Drosophila melanogaster: one gene and its partners. The protein of the gene in region 2 interacts with the protein of the main gene of each other region in a pairwise test. Each region holds a gene or a part of one and is shown on either strand. Other genes may lie near its edges.

Evidence for each region.
Region 1: the proteins of CG14194 (region 2) and Acp24A4 interact in a two-hybrid assay, tested with the Drosophila melanogaster proteins (one large-scale study listed by BioGRID).
Region 3: the proteins of CG14194 (region 2) and Catsup interact in a two-hybrid assay, tested with the Drosophila melanogaster proteins (one large-scale study listed by BioGRID).
Region 4: the proteins of CG14194 (region 2) and CG16713 interact in a two-hybrid assay, tested with the Drosophila melanogaster proteins (one large-scale study listed by BioGRID).

What each region holds. Positions count from the first base shown.
Region 1 is NT_033779.5:3,688,699-3,695,465, forward strand, and holds Acp24A4 (accessory gland protein 24A4), read right to left. Parts: upstream 5,208-6,767; 5' UTR 5,163-5,207; coding exon 5,096-5,162; intron 5,027-5,095; coding exon 4,857-5,026; 3' UTR 4,486-4,856; downstream 1-4,485. Other genes in the region: Drgx (dorsal root ganglia homeobox), read left to right, coding at 1,624-1,781, 2,140-2,780; CG16704 (uncharacterized protein), read right to left, coding at 3,488-3,657, 3,773-3,842; CG3513 (uncharacterized protein), read right to left, coding at 4,143-4,330, 4,392-4,470; CG43165 (uncharacterized protein), read right to left, coding at 5,765-5,985, 6,044-6,110; CG16713 (uncharacterized protein), read right to left, coding at 6,355-6,536, 6,592-6,658.
Region 2 is NC_004354.4:19,190,776-19,199,288, reverse strand, and holds CG14194 (uncharacterized protein), read right to left. Parts: upstream 5,735-8,513; 5' UTR 5,458-5,734; coding exon 5,420-5,457; intron 5,342-5,419; coding exon 5,271-5,341; intron 4,866-5,270; coding exon 4,291-4,865; intron 4,231-4,290; coding exon 3,838-4,230; 3' UTR 3,252-3,837; downstream 1-3,251. Other genes in the region: CG7990 (uncharacterized protein), read left to right, coding at 1-16, 508-772, 840-1,058, 1,146-1,306; CG7914 (uncharacterized protein), read left to right, coding at 5,841-6,788; HP1D3csd (heterochromatin protein 1D3 chromoshadow domain), read right to left, coding at 8,474-8,513.
Region 3 is NT_033779.5:19,038,185-19,045,940, reverse strand, and holds Catsup (catecholamines up), read right to left. Parts: upstream 4,080-7,756; 5' UTR 3,996-4,079; coding exon 3,617-3,995; intron 3,562-3,616; coding exon 2,591-3,561; 3' UTR 2,327-2,590; downstream 1-2,326. Other genes in the region: Acn (acinus), read right to left, coding at 1-374; Ttc19 (tetratricopeptide repeat domain 19), read left to right, coding at 1,038-1,571, 1,624-1,787, 1,858-2,005, 2,058-2,321; mib2 (mind bomb 2), read right to left, coding at 4,819-6,900, 6,963-7,125, 7,187-7,756.
Region 4 is NT_033779.5:3,694,532-3,701,357, reverse strand, and holds CG16713 (uncharacterized protein), read left to right. Parts: upstream 1-5,946; 5' UTR 5,947-6,001; coding exon 6,002-6,068; intron 6,069-6,123; coding exon 6,124-6,305; 3' UTR 6,306-6,326; downstream 6,327-6,826. Other genes in the region: CG42467 (uncharacterized protein), read right to left, coding at 1-51; Sfp24C1 (seminal fluid protein 24C1), read right to left, coding at 360-538, 595-658; CG42465 (uncharacterized protein), read right to left, coding at 829-992, 1,056-1,113; CG42464 (uncharacterized protein), read right to left, coding at 1,539-1,738, 1,802-1,865; CG10031 (uncharacterized protein), read left to right, coding at 2,318-2,531, 2,597-2,772; CG3604 (uncharacterized protein), read left to right, coding at 3,587-3,985; IM33 (immune induced molecule 33), read left to right, coding at 4,760-4,826, 4,887-5,068; CG43165 (uncharacterized protein), read left to right, coding at 6,550-6,616, 6,675-6,826.

The DNA of each region.
Region 1 (6,767 bases), on a different chromosome or scaffold from region 2:
CAGACTCTCGGGTCCATCCAGCATCCAACATCCAGCATCTGCTGGATGTGCACATGCAAAATTTAATTACGACCAAAGGATGAGTGCTTAATTATACGCAAACATTTAAGTTTACTGCTTTTTTCGCAACTAGAGAGGGTTGGGGCCAAAAGGGGGTTAGGGGGCGGTGCTGTCTACGCCCGAGTGTTTGCCTTCGTTGTTTTTCCTATGGCTGCTATTTGAGCTTTCTCATCTGGACTTTTGCTTTTTGGCTCCGAGCTTAATTAGGTGCCAAGGGGCAAGTGGGGAAAATGCATATGCGTGTGTTGACTTTCCAATAAAACGGATATTTCTTCCAAAAACTCCATTTGTTACTTTAGAAATATTATAGCTATTTTGAGCTTTTGAGTTTGTTTTAATCAGCAGAACATAAACTTAAACTTAACTTGTGCTTAGGTTCCAATCTCAAAGAGCGCTATATTTGTGCCTTTTTTGAAGTTCTAACTCAAAATGAAAACAAAAATTGAAAATTGACAAAACCATCATTGTGGAACACAGCAAAAAATTCAATTATCTCATTGAAAATTCCGTTTCAAGCGGCCAAGCGTTTTGCGTTTTTCCAACTGCCGAAAAAAGCAAGGCCAGTGGAAACGAGAAAAACTCGACAAAAATCACGACAAACTGTGGGTGGCTAAGGGAAAGTCAGAAACATGAGAAGCTTAGGAAAATGGAGGGGAAAACTGTTATGGCAGGAGGACAAATGAAAAGTGAAATGCGAAGAGAATTAAAAGCGACAGTGGCCGCGACGTTTGTGGTCCGTTTCTCTCGGTGGTTGCGGTCGCCATTCGCGAGGTCTGCCTGTCATTTTCCGCGCTGGAAAATCCTCGTAAGTCCTCCAACTCGATTAGCATTTCCACAGATTTGTTATGACCACAGAGCAGCCCCATCTTTTTTTTTTGCAGGAATTATCAAATTTTAGACACTTTTCCCTCGGCTGCCGCAGCCCTAATGTAAATTTGAACAAATGGAAATTGCATTTTTTTTCACTTACTGAAATTTCGCTCTCGTTGATTAAACGCAATTATTTCTAATAAAAATGTATGTACATATATTTTGTTCCATAATTTTATTAATGGAGATTATGCGAGTCATAGGAATTTACCAGTTCCACAAACGTTGTCTCACTTATCAATTAAAATTTTTAAATTGCATTAAATGCTTTTTATTGTTTGGCTGGGGTGTATGTGTGTCTGTTTCGTTTTTTTATTCATTCCCATTTGCCTTGACATGCGACTAAGCGTAATATTTCATTCAATTAAAACGATCACAAAAATGACAACTGGGTGTTGATTATGCCCCCGCCCCCGCCCACGCTCATACAAAATATTTGGGTTCATTAATAATAATGCAATTACGCATAAAAATGTTTTAATTTATTTCAATTAAGCGTTAATTAAAACTGTGTTTGCTGTTTTTGTTTGCCTTGTGTGCTGTGTGGTGTTTTATTTACAGTTTTTATATATTATATTTACGCCTTTGATCTCCGCAAATAAACTGCGGAAGGGTGTTCAAATGGTTCCAAGTTTTCAAAAGCTATGTTATATCATTTTTAATAACTTGTTTCTCTTATTTATTTACTTGCAGCAACTGCGGCTTTCGTCCCGTTCTGAGTGAGCAGAGCGCCGTGGCAGCTGCGGCGGCGGCAGCAGCGGCCCAGCGGAGCGCCAACCACCCACCGCTTTTCCTGCCACCCCACTTGGCCGCCCAGTTTACCCATCAGCCGCTTTTCCCGGGCCTGAAAGGTGAGTCTGGCCAATCGATCAGTGGCAAAGTCAATCCGAATCACTTCAGTCTAATCAAATTAGACGGAGTGTAAGGAGATACATCAAAATCAAATCTGCTGGCTTGACAAAATGTTAATTTAATAAAACATTGCGTAGTACAACGTGAATTTAGGACAAGATAAATAGAATTGAAAATCAGCTAATCCAATTAAAGGCATTTGAGTGCGATTAATAAAATTAATTTTTTTTCAATAATCAATCTGTAGTAACCATTAATAATACTTGCATTCGAGACACTCTTGCTAATTTAATTCTTGAAAGAGAAAATTCTACTTAGTCTGAAGTAAATAATATATAAATTTCTTCTTTTTTTTAGGCGTCTCTCCATTCCAGAGCCTGTGCTCATGCTGCTCCCTGAAGCCCCCGCCGCCACCGGGCTCATCGGTGGTGGCTCCACTGAGCATTCCGGTCAGCAGCAGCTCGGCGGCCAGTTCGCCGGAATCGCCAAAGTCCTCCGGCCAGGGATCCGTTCATGATCCGCGGTCCAATTCGGTGGCCGAACTGCGGCGGAAGGCGCAGGAGCATTCGGCGGCACTTTTGCAATCGCTGCACGCGGCAGCTGCTGCAGGCTTGGCTTTTCCGGGCCTCCACTTGCCACCCCTGTCCTTCGCCCACCATCCGGCCTTGGGGCAGCATGTGGTCAATCACAACAATAACAACACGATGAGAATGAAGCACGAGGCTCAGGACATGACCATGAATGGTCTGGGCCCCGGCTCAGGATCTGGTTCGGGATCAGGTTCGGCAGGAGGCGGCACATCATCGGCCGCTCTTTTGGATCTGGCCGAATCGGCAGTTGCATATCAGCAGCAGCAACATGCCACATTGTCGCCACCAACCACGCCCACGCAGCAATCATCCGGGGGCGTGGCAGCAACGGAGGGCTCTCCAGGATCAGGAGCGATTGCAGGATCGGGTTCATTGAATGGAAACGTGGTGCTGACCAAAATGGAATAAACAATAGTTGGCCGAGGAAAAAACGAACAGAGTGTGCAATGAAAAGGCTGGGTATTTTATTTTTCAGATTTATAAATTTGTACAAACTTCAGGCCATCTTATTTCCACGCCATTTTCTTTGGTCTCCAAACAAAGTCCGAGAAAATCTTTAAAATGAAATACCCAAACCAGCGCGTTTGTAACAATAAACAATGAAAACATTTTAAAGTTTAATAGTAGAATAAGCTCTAGCCTAACTTTAATTGAACCAAGTAAACACAAAAGGAAAAAAAAATTTATGAAAAAAAAACAATTAAACAGATGCACTCGAATAAAATCTTAGGTACGTTAGAATGATAATTAGCTGTTGTTTGTTTGTGGCAGTTAGATTGCGAAAAGATAACCCCCGATTGAACCCAACATAATCAGCAACAGCCGAGGACAACTCCAATGATTAACAATATTAATTAACACGCAAATGCATATGAACATATATACAAAATCTAATGCAATATATATACATACCTATAAACTACAGCATATAGATATAGCTAACGACGAATCGAACACATATAGCCTAGCCTATGACACTGAATCGAAAACTAAGTATAGTAACCGCCAAACCAATATTAATAAATATTAAACGAGTTCATAAAGAAAACAATAAAGATGATCACATTAGGATAACAAAACCGAACTTCCAACTTTATTCACAACCAAATGGGCACTTATATTTTGCATTTTTCTTCGCACTCCAACTTTTTGTGGAATAGATTATTGTTTCCGTGGCAGCCGGAGTAATTGAAGGTGAAGCACTCGTTCGTATCTGGGCGATAGGTCCACATGGGTTGCAGGGAACGGCAAGTACCCTTGACGCCAAACTCCTCGCCACAGATTGCTGCAAGTTCAAATTGAAGCACCATTTTTAGCACAACACAGCGAGACCATTCTGTACCTCATGCTAGTAAAGCCTAGTAGCTATAAATTTGATCGCTTTCTCCGTTATTACTTACGGTTTTTCAAAGTCGCAAATGCTGATGCCACAAGACAGCAGATGAGTGCAAAAACGACTAGGTATTTCATATTGATTTTGCTTGGGCTTGCTTTACTGAAATCTCAAACCGAACTGTTGACCGATCCGAGATGTTGGTCGTTTTATATACTATAGGCACAAACCGGATCGGTTATCAATCGACGAGGGTCAGGTCTCTTGAGCACTGACAAAAACAACAAACCTTGATATTGTTGAGTATGGTTTTTATTTTGTTTGCCATTTTGCGAAACCAGATTGCCGACTGTTTGTTTTGGCTTTTAAGTTACAAGATTGTTTTGTTTTAGGCTGTGGGTTTTGCCCAAGATGTGAAGATGTGATTTCGTATTTCTTTAGTCCTTGCAGGCCTTTTCGCATTCACTCTTGGTAGAGAACTGATTGGAGTTTCCACCGCAGCCACCGAAAATGAACTCGGTGCAGGCGTTTTTGGAGGCATCATAGGTCCAGGCCGGCATAAAAGCCATGCAGGCAGCTCCATCCTGCGCCATGCCCACCATCGAAGAGGGCTGCTGGCACATCTCTACACGATCGGGAATCATCCATAGTTTAGCACGGTCTGGAGCAATCATATTCCTACTCACCCGGCTTGGCATGCACCCATAAACGACTGCCGGACAGACTCAGCAAAAAGGCGATGGCGACAAAGCCGATATACTTCATTTTCGACAAAACTTCAGTTGAACTATGGTGGGCCAGACTTTGTCTCGCCAGCGTTTTATAGAGGTGTACATATACGCAGAAATCGGGAAGAATATGGCTATGGCTTATCTTGCATGTCCGCCAGCCTTATATAGAAAGTAGGCAGATAGCTAAGAACTGGCACATACATGTAAGTGCAGATGTTAGTCTTGTAAATCTATTTGTACATTAAATAGTGAAGCATTATGTACTTCGGGCTAGATTAAAAAATCAAGCTTAGATTGTGCCTTCCCCTCGTTTCAGAAAGTTTCTTGCTCTTAAATGATGATTTGTAAGGCTAACTAAATGTTTCTTGTGTTTCGTACGCATACATTCAGATCATAGATACAGATATCTTCGTAGAGATATTACTCCACGCACTTATTTATACACTCTTCCTGGGATTCAAATGAATTTTCGTTGCCCTGACATCCGCCGTAGATAAAATTAAAGCATACGTTATATTGAGCATCATAAGACCAGCGAGAAAACAATGCCAAGCAATTACCATTAGCGGCAGCGGGTAATCCACAGATTTCTACAAACATAAAACATTAAATAGTTAAATTGGGACGATCAACTATGAAACAAGGTAATTTAAGTTTACCATTTTTCAGAGCCAAAGAATTGCTTGCAAGAGCGATGAAAACAAAAAGAAGAATCAGCAGCTTCATGGCGAAAGATATTGGGAACCTTTAACTGACTTAGTCAACAAAACTTTGAAGCCTAAGCGAACCGCGTCGCGTATTTTATACTCATATTCATATCGCATACAGTTTTCCGTTAAGTGTGAACAATTTAGGATTTCACAGTCATATTAATGAGGTCGAGAGGTCTTTTAAAATCTTAAAAATAGAAAACACCCAATACAGATTGGAATCATACAATCTTTATTCTAAAGATATTTTAGAAAAGATATTACTCCACGGACTTAGTTATACACTCTTCTTTGGATTTAAATGAATTTTCATTGCCTTGACATCCTCCGTAGATAAAGATAACGCATTTGTTCTTTTTGGAATCATAGGTCCAGAGCTTGAAATATGCCAAGCACTTGCCACTATCGACTTTTGGTAATCCACAAATTTCTGCAAACATCAAATTGTTTAGATGGGGAGTTAAGCTGTCATATGAAAAAATATGAGCTTACCACTTTTTTAGAGCCCAGGAATTGTTTGCAAGGGCCTAAGAACATTGAATATTTTGAAACAAGCAAGTAAAGATTTATGTATTCAAGGTTTTTTAATAATTATTCCTGCCTGGCTTACATCTTTACTTATATGTAAGCACAATTTAAGAAATATAATGTATTCCAATCGAGTTTGCACTTTTTATGGCATTTCTCTAGGGTATTGAAACTATTATCATTTCCAAAACAGCCGCCGTATTCAAATTTCTGGCAAACATTTATGTGTGGATAGTAACTGAACTTTTCAAAACTTCCAGCGCACTTAATGAAATCATTGCCATTTACTGCAGGCGGTTGTCCACAGATAGCTAATGAAAATGATCATATTACACAAAAATTGTATTACATTTTATTACCTAAACTCACGATCTTTGAGACACAAGCCAACTGTTTCCAGTGCCAGCAGCAAACAGCCAAGAACCACTAGCCTCATTTGAACTTGAGTTTCGAAAACAACGTCTTTACGAGTCCGTAGATCAAGTAATGCCTCTCGGGAATGCAAAATGGAAATGTTTGTGCGGACTTTCAAAATTTTGAATCTTATACAATGTATGTACCAAGTCTGTGAGTCTCAGATCAGATTGTGCTAGCTAATCAAAAAAGTAGCTGCGCCAAATCAAGTACATGACCATGCCAAACTGAAATACAAAAGCTTTCAATTTTTGATTCACGTAATTTTATTGCAAACACTTGTCTTCACAGATTTCCCTCGAATTAAATCTATTGTTATTGCCTCCGCAGCCTCCGTAGATAAATTTGACGCACTCGTTTCGATCGGCGTCGTAGGACCAACTGGGTATATAGGCCTCACAGGATATTCTGCCATCTCCGTTTAGGGAATGGGGTAGACCACAGATTGCTGGAAAAATTTCAGATTACAAACCAATTTGAGTTATGAACAGTTAGGAACCAACCATTTTTCAGGGCCAAGGCGTTGGCCACAAAAGCGACAAACACGAAAACCAAAATCAACAGTTTCATAGTTCAGAGATATTCAAAACCTTTAGCTGATTGCGATGAGAGCAAACTGAACTGCTGAACGGCTAAAGTAGCTTAATTTATAGCCACGACATTGCATTGACTCTCCGCT
Region 2 (8,513 bases):
CGAGACACATTGCCGCGTGAGTAAATGGGCACCGGGCGATCCAAGGGTATTCAGTGGCCAGGATGATGCTGATGAATGATGAATGTTTTGGGCAGGGCTCCGGCGCGTCGCCCGTGGCCAATAAATCACTGTCATCCCTGCGGGAATCCCGCCGAGATTGGAGACACGCAAATCCGCTTTTCCAAACGATTCGCTCACAATTGCTCCACGCATGGCGGTTTTTATTTTCACCAGCGGTCATTTATTTAATTTTAATTACAATAAATTTCACCAGTGAAATATATTCCTATTTGGGTATATATATAACTCAAATAGATTTATACATATCTGATTTTTTTATGTTATTAATATATATTTTGATTATTAGTGGCCATAATTCATTTTCCTTGCAAGTATAGAGAGCATTCACTTCAAGGGTAACCCGTCCGTCCATATTCAAGAGCATCTCCCACCATATCTTCAGTCTCCAGATTAATGTTATTAATTATGTATGGCATTCGTTACCAGGTCTACAACATTATACCCTCGATAAGTGCAATTACCGGCGTCAGTCCGCAGCGCTACTTCTGGCGCTTCAGCATCGCGCTCCACATCGGACCGCGAATCCCCATCGCCTTTGTCTACAAGAACTACTACCGCTCGCAGCTGCGTCGGATCAGTCCCGCCCAGGTGCCTCAGACGAGCCTGCTCATCACGCTGATCCTGGTGCTCAATTGCATCGAGATCGCGTCCCTGGGCGGCGTCACCTATATATCGAATCGCGAGAACTACCGTAGGTCCTGCCCAGCCCCCCAATCGTACATCTGATCCCTCTGATCCGTCTGCTCTCTCTCTTCCAGCCGTTCACGAGCGCATATTCATCACGTTCATGGTCTGCTCGCTGTGTTACATGCTGGCCACCATCAAGCTGAACGGCATCCTCAATGCCGGACAGGCACTGAGCGAAAAGCAGCTCCTCTCCATCAAGTGGAAGAAGATCCTGTTCGCCGTCTCCATCCTGAGCACCGTCGGCCTGCTGGTGTTCTTTGCCAAACATCGCTTCTACTGTCACGACTTGGGTGCGTTTCAAATCTCTTAGTTTCACATTTTCCACCCCGAAACAGATAATGAATCTCCCACATCTCTATTCCCACATCTCTTGACAGCATTCAGTTGGTTCGCGTTCTTCGAGTACTTGATCGCCATTGCCAACATGCTTTTCCACTTCACCATCATCTGGGACTTCCCATCGCAGTTCATGATGATCGTGCAGGGACCCCGCGAGAATCTTGCCCAGTATTTGAGCAACCGGCCGAAACTGGACTAGATTCGACCAGGACTAGATGCCCCCAGCACGCCACTCCTCCAGTGAACCGTGTGCGTGTAATTCCCGTGCGAAACGTACAATTAACGAACTTCTTCAACTTTAAAACTAAGCGCTTCCATACCGATCAACCATAGCAAATTTAGCCTTCTTCTAATTCTTCGATTCTCTTTACACTTACACTTATGTATCAATCTAAACCGAAAGCGAAACCAAACCAAAATCCAGAGATAAATGTTCCATAGTTCCATGATTAATATAGCTATTGAATTTAACAACAAGTATGTAAAGAATTTTGCCAGATTAGAGGGCATACCGTTCTATGTACACATTCTAAATACGTGAAATAAGTTACCTAGGGATTAAGTGCACCCAAAACCAAAACCAAACCAAATGGATCGCAGCTCGCCAGATCTCATGTCAATTTCGAATGGAATGCAAGGAGCCAAGCCAGGTGCGAGCAGTTTCATTTGTTAGGCAGTAAAGTAAAGTAAAATAAATAGAAGTCGCATTACTTACCACTTAGTACATATCGTTTATACAAGATGATAACGAGCAGCGGGAAATAGCCTCCTTGGGACAGGCCCTATTGGCCCCCAACCACAAAAGAAAAACAAACAAACATAAAAGGAACAAGGACACGATTCTAATAGACGGTAATCAGACAATAGACATTAAGTGTGCGACTTTGCTGCGGGCAACGAACCAGGACCTCCACAGATTCCATCCGAGCAGTGATGGCAAATGATATTTCCCGGATAGTTGATAGCTAGCTAACTCATGCCCATAGTTTCAGAATCCCTCACTGATCGTGGATCGGATTGAATAATCCGAATGGACGTGGAGGTGCGGCTTCTGGTGCTCACGGGGTCAGAAGGTCAGTGGTATAAGCAAATGTAGCCAAGTAAACAATTGTTCTTAGCCAACTTTAATAGTGAAATAAAAATCGAAAGACGGAGCAATCCGGTGAAAACTAGAGGCCCATCATAGGTAACCGAATTGCAAACCAGATTAGGATCAATATATTTTGCAGCAAAGGAGTTGCGTAGGTGTTTTTTTTTTGTTTTTTTTTCTTCTACACAAGAGTACTTAGTGTAAATCGAGAAGAGTTCAAATTGATATCGCTACTTGGCCAACTTTGTGCCATATGTACACAGCAGGTTCAGGCGGAAGGTTTTATTCGATAAGTAGTACGTGCTATTGCTAACCTTAATTATGATTGCGATTGTGCATTATATTTGCAGGAGATCGACGTCTTAGGTAATAACCCCGTATGTTCCCGAAAACGAGCAACGTATTTATGTAGCTAAGCCAATGAAACAATTGTTAATTCTCACACAAAAAACCAAATACAAACGGACACTCTATAAAAAAAAAATGTTATACAGATTAACAAATGCAAGCAAGCTCACGCCCACTCATGCGATATGTTATGCAATAGTTAAGTTGCCAGTTGCACCTCGCGATCGATCAGATATATATTGTATTTGAATTATTGTTAATGCTTACACGGCCTGCGTTTAGCCCACTTTAACTATATCTATACTAATGTATAACTCTGTCCCGCTCCATTTCGATTCCCCATTTCCGATTATGTGCCTCACTCTCTCTTTCCCACACCCCCAAGAATATGTACTTCCAGTCGCATCCGATCCGGTTGCAGACTATATTCATATATTCATATATATATATATATATGCGCTTTATATATACCGCTCACCGGCTAATCTTCAATTATTTTGTCCGGCAAATGGATGGTCACTTTTTAAAATGCAACTTTTTACCTTTGCATAACTTTTTAGGCGACACAACGTAAGAGAATTAATTAAAAATGAAATGCAAAACTTAACTATGAAATACATATGTAAACTTTGTAGCTTCCTAATTGAATAAAGATAAATACAACTCACACGAATTTCGAACCATTTCATCATCGTCTTTTCATTTTGATGGAAGCACTTAAGTATATTTCTCGTTTTCACGTACTCTGTTAATTATTTACACTTTATAGTAGGTCATTACACATAAGTGGGCTTCTCAAGGTGTGAGAGATGTTTTACATATAATACTAGCACACGAGTCAAAATTCCGAATGCGGCGCTGTTCAATTTGTGGTCAAGTTGGAGTCCGATTCGGGTCTGGACAAAAGCGTGTGGTGGTCAGGTCCTGTATGCATGTATGTGCTATATGTGCTATCATATGCAGGCGGATGCGTGGAAGGGAGCATGGTGGGTGCGATGTGCTTGGTTGGTTGGTTGGTTGGTTGGACATGGTTCGTGGGCGGTGTTAGCGTTTGTCTTACAATTAAAATTCAGTACAAGTCTAAAAGCTACGACGGAGACGTGAGTGTGTAAGTGGGTATGGGTATGCTTAACAATGCCTAACATAAACACCTGAACAAAGGTGTGCGGCGTCTCCTTGTGCGCGTGCAAAGAGGCTGTCCTTAAGTCTACGCGGTTCTTGCGATTTATTGTAAATGTTGCTGTTTTACTGTTGCTCCTGTACTGCTCCTGTGCTGTACTGGCCGTCTATATCTAGTCCGGCAGATCGATGCTGACGAACGGAACCACCGGCTTGAGAATGTCATTCTTGGCCCCCTTCTTGCTCTTCTTGTCGTGCTTGTGGAACTCGTGCAGCTGCTCGCTGGCCGCCATGCTCGTCGAGGAGGACGCTGCGTCCAGCGGCATGGACTGTGCAGCATTGCTGTGGGTTTCCGGGTGATAGCTGATGTTGCCGTACTCCTGCAGGAACGGCATCGCGGACAACAGGAACTGGCTGAAAGACTTGCGGATGCCGAACCACCACATGTTGCCGCCCTTTGCCGAGGAGCTAAGAACTATTAGCGCCAGAATAGAGACGAGCAGCGGTGAGAAGACCACGATGTACGGGAACTTAAGCTCGCCGTCCAGCTTGTCGCAGATGACCACCTGGCGGAATAGATGGGTTAGCGATGCACAATCTTTTGGAGGGACTAGATGAGGTCTCACCTGAAAGCAGAGCAGTGGGAGCACCGTGCAGATGTTGCCCACCGCTGCGTTTAATGCCGCCTTCTTCTGCTGCAGCGAGACCTCCGGCGTACGCATCATGATGCCACAGAAGATGATGTTATACAATACGCTGACCAGGCTCAGGCATATGACGATCCACATGGGCACAAACACTACGTCCCAGTTCCAGTAGACAAAGCGATCCAGCTTTAGCGGCAGTGAAACAAACTGAAGCGCGTTGACCGCCAGGAAGAGCTCCAGCTCGAAGGAGCGATCGTGCTTGACGGCCCAGACACAGGCGCCCACACTAACCACCGAGCCGAAGATCAGCGGAATGAAGACCAGCACCCACAAGTGACGGTCCGAGGTCAGCTTATCGCAGGCCAGCAGCTCAAACATCAGCAGGATCAGGTGCAGGGCCAGTGAGATGAGCATCGCTTTGAACTGCGTGTAGGCATCGCCCTCGAGACGATAATGCGGATACCGACACCACACAATGGCTCCTACGATTGCGCCCAGGATGGCGGTGCATTTCCATATCCATAGCGGTGTGAAAATCGCCCAGTAGGGCCAATCTGGGATAAGGCATTCGATTAGACTAGGCTACTAGGCCAATTATAAGGTTAATGCCCTACAATAAATCTTGTTCAGTAATTAAAAATCTAAATATTTAGCTTAGATAAGTTATTTAAAATAGCGAGAGAACTAATATCCTCGTTAAGTGACCAAATTTGGATGATCCTCTATGGTCAGACGATTTCTTCGATATTGCTATATCCAATCTCATGATCTGCTTGCTAACCCTTGTATACAATAAATCTGGACTATTCTCTAGAAGAAGCGATGGTGCACCGTACACATATTTGTGTATGGGTCGTATATGCTTGTATTGTTATATGATTGTATTTTCTTGCATCCCCGTGCTATTTTAATTCTGGGTGACGTTGTGTATTCCAGAACTGCCACAGAAAAGTACCCACCAATGTAGTTGTCGAGGCGCAAGGCGAAGAGCGTGACAAAGATGAACAGGCTGCAGTGGACGATGAACTTGCTGAAAGGGAACATGGTCGATTATGTTTTAGATTGGGAACCCATGTGATCCGGTCGTCCGCAGTCGGAGGCTTCTCACCAGGGATTGAAGTCGCGGAACAGAGATTCCAGATTCATGTTGCTGAGGACACCATAGAGCTATGTCACTGGACACTTGGTACCTGGACACTAGTTGCTCGTGGGCACCCGCCGCACCGCGTCCGCTCCACGAAGCGATCTTCGCCCGAACAAGGCTGTGTGTTATGATGGAGTGGGGGGGCGGGGGCAGTTAGTACTCTACGCCTGGCGCCGATCTTTCACCCCTTTCCCTGTAGATATTCTGTTCTTTGTTTTATTTACACACTTTTTTGACTGGCATTTCTGTCCCGAGATTCGATATCGATAACTCTTGCCTGCTCTGGCGATTGGCTTGACTAAGGACTAGCCAGATGTCTGGCTACAATTCGCCAGATTTCCGGCTACGCTAGCCTGCTATCGATAGCCTCGATAGGCACAGGAAAATGTTATCTTATTTGGAAGATTTGAAGGAAAACGAGGACCAGCTGCGGGATTCAGACTGCTGCGGCAATGGCTGCACCAACTGCATCCTCGACAACAAGCCACGGCCAAGCAAACGCGTCCTGCTGGCTGGCAAACGCAACGTGATCCTGAGCTACACGAAGTTCCGCCTGTTGCGGCGGGAAGCGCTGGGACCCAATGGACAGTTGCTGCTCCTGCACTTTGCTCATGCAGCAGAGGAGGGGGACGGCGATGGAGCGGTGGACACGGTGCTTGACATCCCGCCCGGCCACCATGTGATGCTGCGCGTCGGCTCCCTGCTGCGTCCGTATTCGCCCTATTGGAGCGACTTTGTGGCCAAAGAGTTCCGTATCCTGGTGAAGCTGCAGCCGGAGGGGCCAATGTCTCGGCACCTGCAAGCCGTACAGCCCGACGATCTGCTGGAATTCCGTGGTCCCATCGGGCAATACGTACACGAACCGCAGCCGGCCAAGTGCATCTATATTATCGCCCAGGGAGTTGCTATTGCACCCACTCTGCCGCTGGTTCGGCAGGTGCTGGACAACGAGGAGGATATGAGTCGCCTGTGGCATTTGGTGTGCGCTCACGACCTGCTGCATGTCTACTTCCGCGAGGAGATGCTCGAGTTCGCCCAGTTCTGGAACTACAGGAGCTGCCTCTACCTGCCGCATCAGCAGTGTGACTCCTCCGCTTGCCAGGAGGCGGGCCACTGTGCCCAGCAGTGCCCTCAGCTCCGGGACAATCTACGCTACAAGGAGACGGCAAAGGTGTCCCGATTAGATGCCACCGAACTGGCCACCCACCTCAATCCCGCGATTCCCGGACAGCGTGTCCTCATCGTGGCTGGAGATTCAAGTTTTCAAAAGAACATCGCCCAAATAGCAACACAATCATTGGACGTAGATCCGGCAAACATTTATATGTTGTAAATGCCGGGAAAAACTGTAGTTGCTTATAAATATTTGAATATTGTTAATGAATTTGTGATCGTACTGGTTATACCGAGGGTTTTATATTTTTTATACCCTAGATTCGTTGAAAAGTATGTAACAGACAGAAGATATACATATATTCTAGATCTGGATCAATAGCCGAGTTGTTCTGGCCATGTCCGTCTGTCCGTATGAACGTCGAGATCTTAGGTACTATAAATGCTAGAAGGCTATCACGCCCACTCTAACGCCCACAAACCGCACAAAACTGCCACGACCACACTTTTAATAAATGTGTTGATATTTTTTCACATTTTGATTAGTCTTCATTAATTTCTATCGACTTGCAAACAACGTTTTGCTACGTCCACTCGAACGCCCAAAACTGCCACGCCCACATTTTTGAAATATTTTTAAATTATTTTATAAGTCGTGTAAGTTTCTATCGATTTAAAAAAAACTTTGGCACGCCCACTCTAACGCCCTAAAACCGCCCAAACCTGCCGCGCCCACATTTTTGAAATTTTTTTTGGATATTTTTTAATAATTTTATTAGTCGTGTAAATTTCTATCGATTTACAATTTTTTTTTTGCCACACCCAGTCTAACGCCCTAAAGCGGCCATAACTGCCACGCCCACACTTTTGAACAATTTTTATTCCCCAATATCTATCGATATACCAGAAAAATTCAGAAATTTCGCGTTCGCATTCACACTAGCTGAGTAAAGGGTATCTGATAGTCGGGGAACTTGACTATAGCATTCTCTCTAGTTGGCATTTGAAACTTTTACATGTTTTCTATACTTCCAATTAAGCATTTGAGTGTACCGAAAATGGAATGTGTACTTCCATAAAGGAGGAGGAGTTCACTTCTTCATCATCAGTAATACAGGTAACTCCAACTACTTCTACTGTTTTGCCCACACTTGCTACTTTTAATTGGTTATAGGGCATCTATACTTATCGCTGCTAAATGAACATATGGTTTTGGCCATCCAGGTGGCTCTTCAATCCATTTCGCTGTCGGCAAATCATTTACTTTGTTAAAATCTGAGCATTGCAGTTGCAATTCTCATACCAAATGTATCGATCGGGATTTAATTGTCTTTAAAAAAGCCGACTGGTTTTCGCTGTAATTAATACAATTGAGCGTCTGGTTATTCACTGGATGAATCGAAAGGAAACATTATGAATCCAATTGCCATTAAACATTCTCTATGGTCATCTTTTTATTTGACCTCCTGTGTCCACAACATGGTTATGATTCCATTTGACTATTAGTGATCCAATCTAATTCAAGTCATACCAAGTGGATGATATTTTAGGAATCAACCCAATTGGTGTTCAGATTGGAATAATCTGAACACCAATTTGAACATACCCTGTACCTTGATTTTGAGAAACAAATGTGTTTGTGCCTTAACAATTCGTTATTTCGAAACATTCTTTACAAAATAATTTGAATTACTTACAAACAATAAAAAGGATAATTTTATTTTGAAGCAAACTTATTGTTACAAGACAAAAACGAAAAAAAAAATAAAGTAATTTAACTTAAATACTGTGAGTTGATTCAAGATCTTTTAACATTTTCTTCATGGATGGATAATGATAATGGATAAAGTCAATTTGGAGATCTGCTCCAGTTATATTATAAATCCTCGGGCTTCGGAGGTTTTTTCAGTCCTGTAGCTTCAGGCTCTTAATGTAGTCAATGAGT
Region 3 (7,756 bases), on a different chromosome or scaffold from region 2:
TTTTCCTCCTCGACAGCGTCCTTTTCAACATCCTTTCCATTCTCCGGCTCCTCCTCGGGTATGGTGTCCACCTTCTTGTCGCCGCCCTTGGACTCCGTGCGCTTTCTAGGCGTCGTCCGGCTGCCGCGACTCCTGCGCACTGGCGATGCTCCAGATCCGGCACGTTCTTCACTGGATGCCCGCGCCTCATTGATTTCTTGAGAGGCTGGCGGTACTTTGGGGCATTCGGCCTCATTATTTTGGGCCACGACCGGAGTCTCGACCTCGGTCTTCTCGTTCTCCGACACCTTGCGGGAGCGGCGACTTCTCCGTGCAACTGCCACCGGCACCGGAGCGGGCGACGACGACTTTTTTCGCTCGCTGCGACGTCTCATGGCTGTCCGAAAATCGCTGGAAACTCGCTGCGACGCTGGAAAGATCTGAAATAAAACGTAGGTACAGCCGGCGGACCCACAGCTATTTCATGCACTGCTTTGCGAATTCACTCCTCGTTATATTCTGCACCTTTTCTTGATAAGAAAAATAATTTTACTAGGCGAAAGAGCGTCAATCCGCCATCAATATACAGGGATGCTTTCTCTCGGTCTATCGCCCCGCTGACGGCTATCGATAGTATCGTATGCGATGGGGGAAGGAAGTACCTTATTACGAAAAACTTTATCAAATGTACTTAAATGTTTTTTATTCGAGATTGTTAATAACTCTACTTATCAATTTATTTTTGTTCGCAGATTTAACTTATGAACGAAATGTTAGGTACCAAAGTTGCCGATAAAGTTTTGTTTGACAGTGTCATCTCTAAAAAATTTAAAAACCTTTGTTTACGAAATCTTAACGAAACATAAATATATTTGCGAAAGTATGATAGAGTAGAAATTATTTAAAAGTCTTCTATGTTCTTAATCAAGCGTTACGAAATGTACTTTTAAAACGTCTTTACCGCGCTTTGCAACACTACATACGTGCTATTTCATAATTTTTAATACCATACCTGCAACATTATAGGTTTTAGTTAAATAATTAATAAAGCCCTAAACATGTTAGTGAGAAATATTTGCAAGTTTACGCAAGTTATGGGCAGGTTCCGCGTTGTCGTGAATCCCAGAGATTACTGTCATCTTGCGCCGCTGAAGAGAAGCCGTTATCACCAACGGTCAGAATTCGGATGTCGACCGCTGTGCTCCAATGCTGCGGGCTACGAGGTGTCCTGGGCAGCTCCGCCCGCTTCTGGCTCTTCCGGTGGAATGTTTTGGGCATTTTCCGCTGCTTTCACTCTGAATCTGTTTGGTGGCGCCGACGAAAAAGAGGAAACTCCGGAGGAAAAACTGATCAAGACCATCAAACGATCAATCCTGTGCATTCAGAGGGAACAGTACGACAAGGCCGAGCAAATGCTTCACCTGGCTCTGCGAATGGCGCAGGATATTCAGAGCAAGGACGGCATCACATATGTGTTTGATCTGATGGCCAATTTGGCCATGGAACGCGAGCAGTTTAAGAAGGCGGAGAAGATATTCACGGACGTTATGAAACGGCTTTTTGCCGAGGGTCACACCGAAGAGAGTCCCAAGGTGGGTGACCCACTTAGACACCATAACCAGTTAAGATCTCTTTCATCTTTAGATACTTCACATCAGCTCCAAGATAGCACACATGTCTCAGCTGCAAGGGGATCTGGAAAAGAGCTTTCAAGGGTTCACTTGGACCTTGCAGCAGTTGGCTAAGCTACTGGAGAAAATGCCCGACGACAAGGACATACTGGAGCTGTATGGCTTGACAAAGAATTGGTATTGAAGGTGTTTCCATTGCCGCTAACCAAGCCTTTTTTCAATACTTTTCCTTATGTTTATTTTCCAGGTTCGGGCAGCTGCTGATGAAGCAGGGAAAATACCTGGAGGCTAAAAACCTCTTTAAGGAGGCCTTCGACACGCTCATAAATGTTTATGGTGCCGTTAACGACGCCTCTGTAACCATCCTAAATAACATCAGTGTGGCGTACGTAAACGTAGGTGCGTCTATTCTTCCAAAGTACTTGAAACACATTAGACTAATTACAGCTGGAAAAGTACGCCGAGGCAAGGGAGACCCTTTTGGAGGCCATGGAGCTGACTAAGGAGCTAAAGGATGCCACCCAGGAAGGCATTCTGCAGGCAAATCTGGGTTTGGTGTATCTTCGCGAGGGCCTGATGTCGCAGGCGGAGAACGCTTGCCGACTGGCGTGGAAACTGGGAAAGCAACACCAGAATCCCGATGCCGTAGAGCAGGCCGAGTATTGTCTCAACGAGATAAAGACAACCCTGAATGGAGAGAAGCGCCAGTGAGGATTCTTTTTACAGTGTAATTTTGACTATTTATAAAAATTTCATTTCGAAGTGAAGCACAAATTTGGAAGGCTTAAAAAATCTTAAATAACGCCGCATTGTTTATATTGGGAACTAATAGCGGTTACTGACTGTTGAAATATAAGAAATTTAAGTAGTTGCTCATCGTTTTGAGTAGGTAACGAACAGAAATCTTTCAAATTGTTTGCGGCACACTTTCAGTACATGCAATTAGATCTTTTTTGTGTTAACTTTCCACAATTTTGATATTACTCGAACTTGGCGATAACGATCATTAGGGCTACGCCGGTTAGCAGCGCAAAGATTTCCTTCAGCGACTGTTTCAGTTTCGTAGACTCCTCAAGCAGCTCCGGCAGGACACTCACTGTTGCGATGTAAATAAAACCGCCGGCTGTGAAGGGCAAGACCCATGGGGCCGATCCGTCCCCGCCTCCAGCTCCCAGAAGAGCTAGCGCTGTGCCCGCCAAAGCTCCGAGCGCTGTGACGAGCTGCAGAAGCATTGCCTTTCGCCTGGAACAGCCAGACTTTATAAGAATGGCAAAGTCACCAATCTCATGGGGCACTTCGTGCAGCAGAATAGTGATAGTGGTCACAATGCCAATGCTGTTGCCCGCCAAATAGGAGGCGCCGATGGCCAGGCCATCGGTGAAGTTGTGAGCAAAGTCCGCCGCCAAATTCAAGTAGCCGGAAATCTCCACTTCGCCTTCTGGCTCCGCTTCTGGTTTCTTGGACTTGATCTTGGCTGGCTTTGCCGGTTTGTCTCCATCTCCGCTGTCTTCTTTGTCAGAGGACTTTTTCTTAGCAGGCACTGGTTTTGGCTTTGGTGCTCCATGGCTGTGGCCGTGTCCTCCATGACCGCCCTTTAGAATGCGTACCAGTTTCTCCACTGAAAGGAAGGCAATGATTCCTCCAAGGACCCACAGACCAATGCTCATATCGTGGCTGTGACCATGTTCATGCTCCTCGCCATCATGATGATGATGGTGATCATGGCCGTGATCGTGGCCGTGTTCTCCATGACTGTGTGGATGCGTGGCATGAGGAATCAAGTGCAGAAAGGCATCACCCAACAAACCGCCAGAAGCAAAGGCCAGAAGCACTTTGAGACGCGGCTTCATCGCCTCACTGTTGTCTAGGGGAATGATATACAGCAGCACGAAGGGAGCGGCACTGATAAGAAGAGTTGAGCCGATCGAGTGCAACCAAATGGTGCTCATATCTATAAGAAATTTGGGTCAACTCGGGCATTTTAAGAGTGGTAGTTCGTTGATTACCCAAATCCGGCTTTGCCTTGGTGTGCCTTTCATCGTGCCCGTGATGATGGTGTCCGTGGTCGTGGTCATGATCATGATCGTGCCCGTGATGATGGTGTCCATGATCATGCCCGTGGTCGTGGTCATGATCATGATCGTGCCCGTGGTGGTGGTGTCCATGATCGTGGTCATGATCATGATGATGATGGTGCTCCGCCCGTGGAGCCTTCTGCGGATCGAAGTTTTCGTTGGCTTCCCGCGAGTATTTGAAACTGGGATTGCCCTGGCCGGCGCACAACGCCGGGAGCGAGAAAAGCACTGCTCCCAGGATTACGACCAGTGCCAGCTTTTGGTACAACTGGAGCTTACTGCACTGGTAATCAGCCACTTGTTTGGCCATTTTGTCCTTTACTTTAGTTTCGCGTCGGACTGCGGCCAAAGTGTTGTGACGTGTTTGCTTTTTTTCTGGCTACGTTGTTATCGATTAGCGTGTAAATCTGGAGGTATCGATTGTTTCGCTCAAATAAAAAATAAACTTGTGTATATTTTCAATTATAAGTTGTACTTTGCCGCTTTTGCTTACATTAACTTTTAAACGGAGCTTAAGATCCGACAGCTTGCCAAGTCAATGCTTACAAAAATGCAAAACATTTAAAATTTATGCAGCGTACTGAAAGAAAATAACTTGTTCACACTTTGCCGTTACAACATTTCAGTTTTAAAATCTTTCTAAACTTATTATATATTCAATTTTAAACTAAACCTTTTAAATACCAATACAATTAAAAGTCACCCCAGCATATTCAGAAATAAAGTATCTTTATTTTCTGTAGGCTAACCACCGACATCGATTGAAATTCACTCAATTAAATAATTTTATATTTGTATATTTGCATTTAAATGACTATTAAATATTTGTATGCTTTAGTTAGTTTCCTATGTATTTATCGTTACCAGACATGGTTAAACGGGGCTAATAACTAGACACGAGAAGGTGCACATTAATTTGTTGCGTGTTGCGACGATGCCGATGATGAACCGATTAAAAAAGAACTCGTAAATTTCGTTTGTGATCAATAAATAATAATTTCGATTTGCACATGACACGGCAATGTGAGTGTGTGTTTGTTTTGTGTATGTATATATACAAGCCACTTTGGTTGCTGTTTGAATTGCTGCTGATCCTGCCGCCTTTGCTTTTCTTTCGTTTCCGTTACCGCCGTTCAGTACAGGTTGATCTTCTTGAGTATTGTCTTGCGACACATGTGGCATGTGCGGAGCGTTTCGGCACAATGGGAGCACGCGCCGTGCCCGCACAGGAAGGCCACATCCCTTTTTCGCTCCATGCAAATACCGCAGAAGTGCGACTCCTCAAACTCCAGCACTTTGTTCTCCAGATAGCGAAGTAGATCCCCGGACGGTAGGCGAGTGGGGTCACTAGGTGACGACGTGGACGTGGGCAGGGCCACCACTCGGCCGCTGACCGTCAATCGCCGCTCGATCGCCACGGCACAGCGGAGACACTTTTTCATTCGGATGCCGCACTCCTCGCAGGCGATCTGATGCTGACACGGCTCAAAGCGCACCATCGGCAGGATCTCATTGCACACAATGCACTCATGGGGACCGGGGACGATCACCGGACTGGTACTGGGTCCCGCCGCTCCGGCTTCCAACGCGGTACTGCTCGAGCTAGTGGTAACCGGAGGCTTGGGCGCCTTCTTGCGCGGTGCCACCTGTGGAGAGACGTTTTGCGGTGTTGCGTCGGAGTTCAGTTTCTTTACGCCCGGCGAGGCGGAGGGCGTGGATGGAGATGCTCCAACTCCAATGGCTGGGATATCGTTTGGCTTTGGCATTAGTTCAAATGTCTGGCGCTGCGGTGGTGGGGGTGCTGCAACGCTTCCAGGTCCGGCTCCATTGGATTCAGCTCCAGCAGACGCAGAGCTCTCCTCACCGTCGGCTGATCCTGCGGACACTTCCAAAGCTTGAAGATTCCTAGGCAGCGATTCAGCTTCGCCCTGCTGCCCAAAAATCAGTTGCCTGATGTGGCGGTCCGTTATCCACTCAAAAATGCTTGCATTGGCGTTGTTCAGCTCCACTCGGCAGCCGGCCCTCGAAAGATAGATCAATATACTGTACATCAAACGATCCTCAGGACGAATGCTCGAGTGTACTAGACTCAGGTAAAACTTGTGAATCTCAGGAGCCTCCTCTGGCTGAGGCTCCGCGGCCGACTGCAGATTGGACTTCTTAATGACGCACAAGTGCATCGCATTGTCGCCATCCTCATCCTTGGCATTCACGTCGCAGGAGAGGCGAACGAGTCGCTCGATTACCCCGGCATGGCCCTGGGAGACGGCCAGTAGGAACGGCGTCTGTTGGCGATTATTGCGTATATCTAACTCCGCTTGGCCCTCAGTGACCAGCGTTTCCACAACCTGGGCATGACCGTTAAGGGCTGCCAAATGAAGAGCCGCAAAGCCATCGTCTTTGCGCACATTGACCAGCTGGCGGGAGAGCAACAGGATACGGCGAGCAGCTACCACGTTTCCTTTAAGCGCTGCATGGTGTAGCACGTTAAAGCCGCGATTATTCTTAACCGTAAAGTCCAGATTCGGAGCATTACAAAGCAACTCCACAACTTCCGTATTCTCTTTGCCGATTGCGTCGTGAAGCGCCGTATCCCCGTACGAATCCTGAATGTTTACGTTGGCATTGTGCTGCAGCAACTCACGCACACAGTGCGGCGTTTTCTTGTGCGCGCAGATGTGCAGTGCAGAGCAGTGGCTCGAGTTTAGGAAGTTCACCTCAGCACCGTGCTGCAGCAGCACTCTCATGGTGGCCGGCTGATTGCCGAAGGCTGCGTAGTGCAGAGCTGAATCACCTTCCTTGTCGACCGCATTCACGTTGGCACCCTTGGAGATGAGGTAGCTGACAAGATCGACGTAGCCCTGATGAGAGGCCACCTGAATACAAGCCTTGCCGCCACTCATCACATCCACCTGGCTGGGATTCACGTCCAGGTACTGCCGCACGAAATCCAAATGGCCCTGGGCAGCCTCGCGCACCAGCTTGTCGGCAACCGAACTACCGGAGAGGCCAGAGAGCGGTGTCATTACATGGTCAGCGCGTCGGTGGCTTAGGTCCATCATACTGTTAGAGCGCTCAGCTGCTGTTGCCAAAGGAGAACGCTCTAGTTTGACACATTTCGGATTCAGGGTCCACTCGAAGCCGTCGTCCAACTGCTGGATGCGGAGGTCACCGTCCGAGTACACCTTCACTACCTTGCAAATTTTTCCAAGGGCCTGAAAAACATTTTTTTTAAAGAATACTCTCAAAAAAGATTTAACATAATCTGAATACTCACGTGTCGCATGATTTCTATCCATTCGCCGTGACCCTTCTGCAGCTGCTGCACTTTGTTGGCATCGTTGATGATGGTGACCAGGTCACCGACACGAAAAGAGACAACCTTAACGAGTGCGGCGGGATGAAAGGTCCATCGATTGGGACAGTTTTCATACTGAACACTGTTTGGGTTTCGACTGTGTTAGAAATCCAAATAAAATCAACCAAATTATATATTCTCACCGTATATCCCCCTTGTCCGTGATGCGGTGTACTGTGCCCAGTTTGGACAAATGCTCGACCATGCGCGGATTCCATCCGCCATGGCCCTGCTGCAATTTCATTAGGGCGTCAACCTCTAGGCAAACCTTGACGCGGTCGCCCACGGAAAAGCTTGGCTTCACCATGGGCGCCACCGGCTGCAACTCCTCTGTCTGACCTAGAACAGGCATGTGGTCCTTATAGTAGTGACCACCGCACGTGGCAGTAATGTACTTGAGGTCAACGTTTCCCTTGTGACCTAGACGGTAGACGTTCGTCGATCCGGTTACCCACGCTACGTTGGCCACGCTGCGACACGATTCGTTGTCCCAGCCTCGGATTTCCATTACCCGACCCGTCCTGCCTTCTCCGCCGTCCTGTTCGTTCCACTCCCAGTCAGGACCGCGCACTACTTTGGAACCCACAAAGATGCCTCGCAGCTGGATGCGCTTGGCACCTTTTCTCATGGGCAATCTCACGCCCAGCGAGTTGGGAGTCGTGTAGCGGATAAACGGGTGCTCAATATCGTGCAGATCCTCTGCGTAGCAATAG
Region 4 (6,826 bases), on a different chromosome or scaffold from region 2:
CGCAATCCCCAAAAGGGTAACTAATAAGACAGACACACAAAACGATCTCATTAGCAATGAGTGAATAAACACAAAAAAAATGGCATCAGGTTTATATAGAGTGAAAATATCTGGAAATAGGAAGTACCTTTAACTAATTAAATTAGCTTCAGGTGTTGCTAGAAAACAAATAGGTTCTGATTGAAATGTTTTTTTTTTTTAATATTTTCAGCGAATAATAGAATATAATTGTAGTTCCCAAGATTAAGAGCATACATATATATGTACTTTAAAGAATCGGAAACGATTTTAATAGTTAATTTGAAGCACATCCTAGCAAATATAAATAAATAAATATAAATATAAATCGCTCGACGATTTCAAGGTAATATTATTTTTTTGCATGCTGTTTCGCAGGAAGCTTTGTCCATGAAAAAGTTATCCTGTGCAGCACATGGTCCAGAAATTCTACGGCATGCGTTTTTGGAAGCTACGAAAGTAAATCCTCTTATAGTCATTTTACACCATCCAATGAATGTGGCCTGAAGATTGCAGACAGCTGGAGTAAAGGAATATTTTTTAAAATTATTTTAAATGTTTTCGTTTTGAACTTACAATTTCCATATCCCATTTCGAACTTAAGGGTTATTAATAAGGCCAATATACAAAACGACCTCATCGCAAAACGACGAGCTCTGATCAATTGAGAGGGTTTTTTTTATGCATTTAGTAGTATCGACAACTAATAGAATTAGTTCTGGATATAACATACTTAAAATGTGTTTGCAAAAAACGAGGGCTCTACAAGATTGAAAAAATACTCAAATCTTAAAATAGTTAACTAGTTAGTTATTGCTTGCACATGTCTTCGCACTCCTCTTTTTTGCTAAAATGATTTCCATTCAGAAGGCATCCCTGCCAGTATACACAATCGTTTTTATATTCAACATAGGAATAGAGGTCTGTCAATTCCAGGCATGATCCTTGGACAAAAGGTTCAAGATTACAAACCACTGAGAGAAGGTGTTACATTATTAAGTGTTAATTATTAATAAATACTTCTGCTTTGAACTCACAGCCATTTATATCCGCCGTTAGAGCTAATATTGTCCAGATCAAAATATATACTTTCATCCTCGATGTGTGTATGTTTTGAATCAACGTTAAAAAACTGAGGTAAAACTGCCAATATCGGGCAATAAGCTTACCTTTATCCTTTTTATGAATTATCCGAAACTAATTAATTAGGTTTGGAATTATGTAAAATATTGGCCATGGAAACGGAAAGTAAATTATTGTGGTTAGGGTATGAGACCGAATAATTGTTTTAAAACATTTTATATAAAAAATTAAATGATTTATTAAATATTCAGACTGCCAGAAGTTAAGATTTATGTATTAGCACAAAAAAGAAGGCCAGCAAAAAGTAGGCAATCTTTTTACAACACCATGAGGGTATTCCATTGCCCTACAAAAAAAAAACTTTGATTTATTTATTATATTACTTCTATTATTTATTGTATTATAAATAAAAAACATTCGAAATTTTTTTACATTATTCAAAGCTGCTCAACTTTATTTTTGCAGAGATCTTCGCAAATTGCTTTAGTTTGAAACCTATTTTCGTTGCCACCACAGCCTCCGTATGAAAACTCCAGACATTCGTTTTTATCTGAATGATAGGAAAACCAATTCGAGTAGTGTGCACAGGACATAATTTTCCCAAAGCCATTAGCCTCAGGCGTAAGTTGACAGATTTCTAAATATATATTTTATTTTACACATTTTAGGAGTGGTAGTTAATAATGAAATACACACTAACCATCTGCTGATTCCGCATTAACACCAGCTAATGCTATGAATAAATACCATATATTGATGAACATCTTTTTCCCGGTAAAACTTTGTTTAGATTGAAGACCTTTCTCGTGAAAGATGTCTTTATAATTCTATAATTCGCAATAACCTGGCTTAAAGTGTGCCTAATTTGAAAAGTCTACAGTTTTCTTTCAAGTGATAGGGTATCGCTTTTTGTTTATTTTATTCGATTCAAGTATATATTATTATGCGAGCACTATGAGTTCGAAAATGCGTTCCAATTATGTGCTATCTGTTTGCTTTGTTGAAATTATTTAATTAATCTCGCCAGCGTTCAACACGGCGTATGCGCAATGCGAGCTTAACTCACACATGGATGAGCAGAGAGTGAGCAAATGATTTAATTTGAACGTAATTGATCGTCTAAGCACAGCATATAGAACTGGAATATGGAACATTCGGAACAGTTCAGTTCACAGTCGTTGCTTTTAACGTTCAGTTATCAGGTTGCAAACACAAAATGCTTCTGCGGATGACCCAGTTTCTCTGCCTTGCGGCACTCGTTTTGCTAAGTCTTATGCAACTTACGCAGGCAGTAGCCACTCCCAATAATAATAATAATAATAATAACAATATTAAACCGAAGGCTGTGGTTCAGGTGCAACCTGGAAATCCATCGGGAAACAAGCCTGCAGTTGCCACAACTACAATCAAACCACAGAGACTGGTACCAGGTATGTTTATTTATAAACTGATCGAAGAACTTTTATGGACCTTTATTAAATCCCTTAATTTGTAGATCCCAAATGCCTGCAGCCCTTGGACGTTGGTCCATGCCGCATGAGCCTAGAAAGGTTCTACTACAACAAGGATTCAAAAGCTTGCGAGACCTTCAAGTACGGAGGATGTCGAGGCAATGACAATCGTTGGGGATTCCGACAAACTTGTGAGGAGGCTTGTATTCCCAAAAAGTGATCCATTGATGGCGGTCACAAAATACGAGATTGTTTTTAAATTGTAAATGCTAGATGAAATTATTTGTTGATGTATTTTTAAAATAATTACTTGAAATGGGTTTTTGCTAATGCGAAATATATACGTTTAATAATTAACTAATTACAAGTAAGCAGTATATCAAATGTTTATCTATAATTGGAATTAAGAAATTAAGTGCATTATTTTCCACCTATATGCGCAATTTTGAAAATTACCTAATGATTAGAATCGCAAACGAGCGATTATTAGGAACATTTCTTAACCAGACAGTTTATTCATTTCTTCTGAAGCTCCAAAGCTTACCCCATTCGTTAGATACACAAAAAACTTCAACCGACAGTTAACCAGTTTATAGGTAATTCAGTTAGATTCCCATTCCGCTCGCTAAACGTGATTTGGCTGACTAAAATTGTCACACCGATACGGAAGCCACTTGGAATATGATTTTATGGCCAGCATTATGATTGACTTGCGTTGGTGCGTTGATCTGCAATTGAAGGTTGGGCCGCGAAAGCTTCTCCGAGAGCTGTCAGTGCCAGGTGATATCGATATGGACGTGGATATAGACGTCAGAGAGGCACCGCCGTGATTTACATGCGGCGACGAATCAGTTGGACAAACAAGCTGGCGCTCCGATAAATGAAGTACACAAAAAGAGGCAAAACGGTGGGCAAAAACCCAGTTGAGTGAGTATAGTAGTACGTGAGTTAATCAGTTCGGACGGATAGTATTTAAGCCGCAATATCCGAGCGAGCCGAAATCATTCGCTCATCATCCACTCAACGGACTCGAAATGTGCTTTAGATATAGCTTCAGTTTCATAGTATTCGCGGCTGTTCTGCTCCTGGCAGCCGGAATTCGTGCAGCTCCCTCGGATGTCGTCGTGGAGAAGGCGGAGGAGCCCGCGGTGGCCAAACCCCTGCCTGATGCCAGTGAGCTCACTGTTCCGGAGGACTGTCATCAGCCCAAGGAAACCGGTCGCTGTTTCGCTCTGTTCTATCGCTACGCCTACAACGTGGATACACAATCCTGCGAGGAGTTCGTTTACGGTGGATGTGCCGGCAACAAGAACAACTTCGAATCCAAGGAGCAGTGCGAACAGGCATGTTTGGTAAAGTCTGCGGTTTCCTCCACGGACTCAACAACCGAACAAAACAGCGAAGTGGCCACAGAAACTAGCACCTCGTCTTAAAAAATTGTAGTTCTTAGTTTGTAATTTATTTGTCATCCAACTTCATCAGCCTTTTAAAAGCATTTCTTTACTGAGTTGATTATTTGAATAATTTGATTATAAATTTTAATAAATATACCATTGTGATTTATATATCTATTTCGTTTTATTCGCACATCTGGTACTAGCAGTACAGTATGTAGATACATTTGTAAGTGTCAGAAGTGGTTAGCAGTACATCTCGGAAAGTCATTAATTTCGAAACCCGACGGACTCACAAAAACTTGAGTCATGAATAGACGATTTTAATTAATCTTGGGAACTAAACAGTGTAAACAGTAATTTTGATAAAATATGACTACTTTTATAATGCACTTATATCGCAAAGATTCTGAAAACGAAATGTATAAATATATTATACAAGCAAAAGAGGAAATAAATGAAATTTGGGAAAAAATCGGACAAACCCACTTCCGAATGACAAATCGCTGCCTAATCGTGTTTACTTTATTCAGAACGTAGTTCCTAGATTTATTTGCTATTCCGGCATTATTTTCAGTACAAACACTAGCACTAGCACATAGTACTCGAAGTCTCGTCTGTTTATATACCAAATTCACGAGCACTCGTTAATGAACCGAAAGTTCATGAGCATATAGATAAGATCCCCAGCCAATATGTAGTTCCCATCTGCCGATCGGCATGGCGTATATAACCTAGTGCTACACCTCCGATTTCCATTAGTCGTTCCACGGAAGCTGGGAGATATACATAGTTTTCAAAATCGCAATCAGTATGAAATTCATTGCTGCCGTCTGTTTGATGTTCGCCCTGGTGGCTGTGGCCCTCGGCCTCAAGGATCGTAAGTTGGGAGCTGCTCAGGAAATCGAAACCATTCTAATTCACATTCTCAATCTATTAGCTATCTGTGGACTGCCCGCTGGTATTGATGGCAATGGTCTCATCAAGTGTGCCGCTTTTATACCCAGCTTCAGTTATCATCCCGAAACCAATTCGTGTGAAAAGTTCATCTACGGCGGATGCGGCGGCAATGAGAACCGATTTGGAACCCAGGAGCTCTGCGAACAAAAGTGCAAGGAATAAATTTGACCTCTATGCTCTACAAAATATTCAATAAATGATTTTCGATAAATAACTTTTTGGACGATTCTTTATAACTTACCTCATTTTACATCACATAAAGAAAAAAACAAGGTTCGTTTTGATCGCACTATCGGGCAAAGTTTAAGTTGCTGAATTAATTAAGAGACTAGAAAAAAGTACACCCAGAAAAATTGAGAATTAACCTTCGATTTCGAGACGAAAACGATCTGAATGTTGATATTTTCAGACGGAAGGGAAAGGTTGAAAAACTGAGAGAGGAAGGCAAATGAGAGCAAAGTCATTTGCAATCTGAGTATGGTGAGCATTATTCAATCTTAGCTAGATTTTGGGGTCGAAATTGTCAAATCGAGATGGTTGAAAACGGATTTTTCTCTGAGTGTCTTTTTTTTATTATATTATAGTAAAAAGAGGGGTTCCAACGAACAACTGAAACATTTAAGTGGAATTTTTAAACACTTACGAAATGGACCTATCAAATGAAATGAAATATTTTACGGAGCTTTCGCCATGGCCGTTGTAAGTATGACACTTCCCGTTGTTCCTATCGATAAGAGAACATATCCATAATTACAACACTTGTTGAGCTCATTGTATATTTCATATGATACAACAATTATAATGTGATGGGCTTTCCCTTTCAGGCGGCCAGTAAACAAAGTCGTTTCTGGGAAGCCGACGAATGTAAACACAATGCGGCAAAAATATTTACATAGATCGGTGCGAATTTTTGTGGAGATTTCCCAGTCATATGTGAGCTTAATTTGTTTGTCGTACAATCACAGTGTTTAATGGGATCGCTGATTAGCGGAGAGTCAATGCAATGTCGTGGCTATAAATTAAGCTACTTTAGCCGTTCAGCAGTTCAGTTTGCTCTCATCGCAATCAGCTAAAGGTTTTGAATATCTCTGAACTATGAAACTGTTGATTTTGGTTTTCGTGTTTGTCGCTTTTGTGGCCAACGCCTTGGCCCTGAAAAATGGTTGGTTCCTAACTGTTCATAACTCAAATTGGTTTGTAATCTGAAATTTTTCCAGCAATCTGTGGTCTACCCCATTCCCTAAACGGAGATGGCAGAATATCCTGTGAGGCCTATATACCCAGTTGGTCCTACGACGCCGATCGAAACGAGTGCGTCAAATTTATCTACGGAGGCTGCGGAGGCAATAACAATAGATTTAATTCGAGGGAAATCTGTGAAGACAAGTGTTTGCAATAAAATTACGTGAATCAAAAATTGAAAGCTTTTGTATTTCAGTTTGGCATGGTCATGTACTTGATTTGGCGCAGCTACTTTTTTGATTAGCTAGCACAATCTGATCTGAGACTCACAGACTTGGTACATACATTGTATAAGATTCAAAATTTTGAAAGTCCGCACAAACATTTCCATTTTGCATTCCCGAGAGGCATTACTTGATCTACGGACTCGTAAAGACGTTGTTTTCGAAACTCAAGTTCAAATGAGGCTAGTGGTTCTTGGCTGTTTGCTGCTGGCACTGGAAACAGTTGGCTTGTGTCTCAAAGATCGTGAGTTTAGGTAATAAAATGTAATACAATTTTTGTGTAATATGATCATTTTCATTAGCTATCTGTGGACAACCGCCTGCAGTAAATGGCAATGATTTCATTAAGTGCGCTGGAAGTTTTGAAAAGTTCAGTTACTATCCACACATAAATGTTTGCCAGAAATTTGAATACGGCGGCTGTTTTGGAAATGATAATAGTTTCAATACCCTA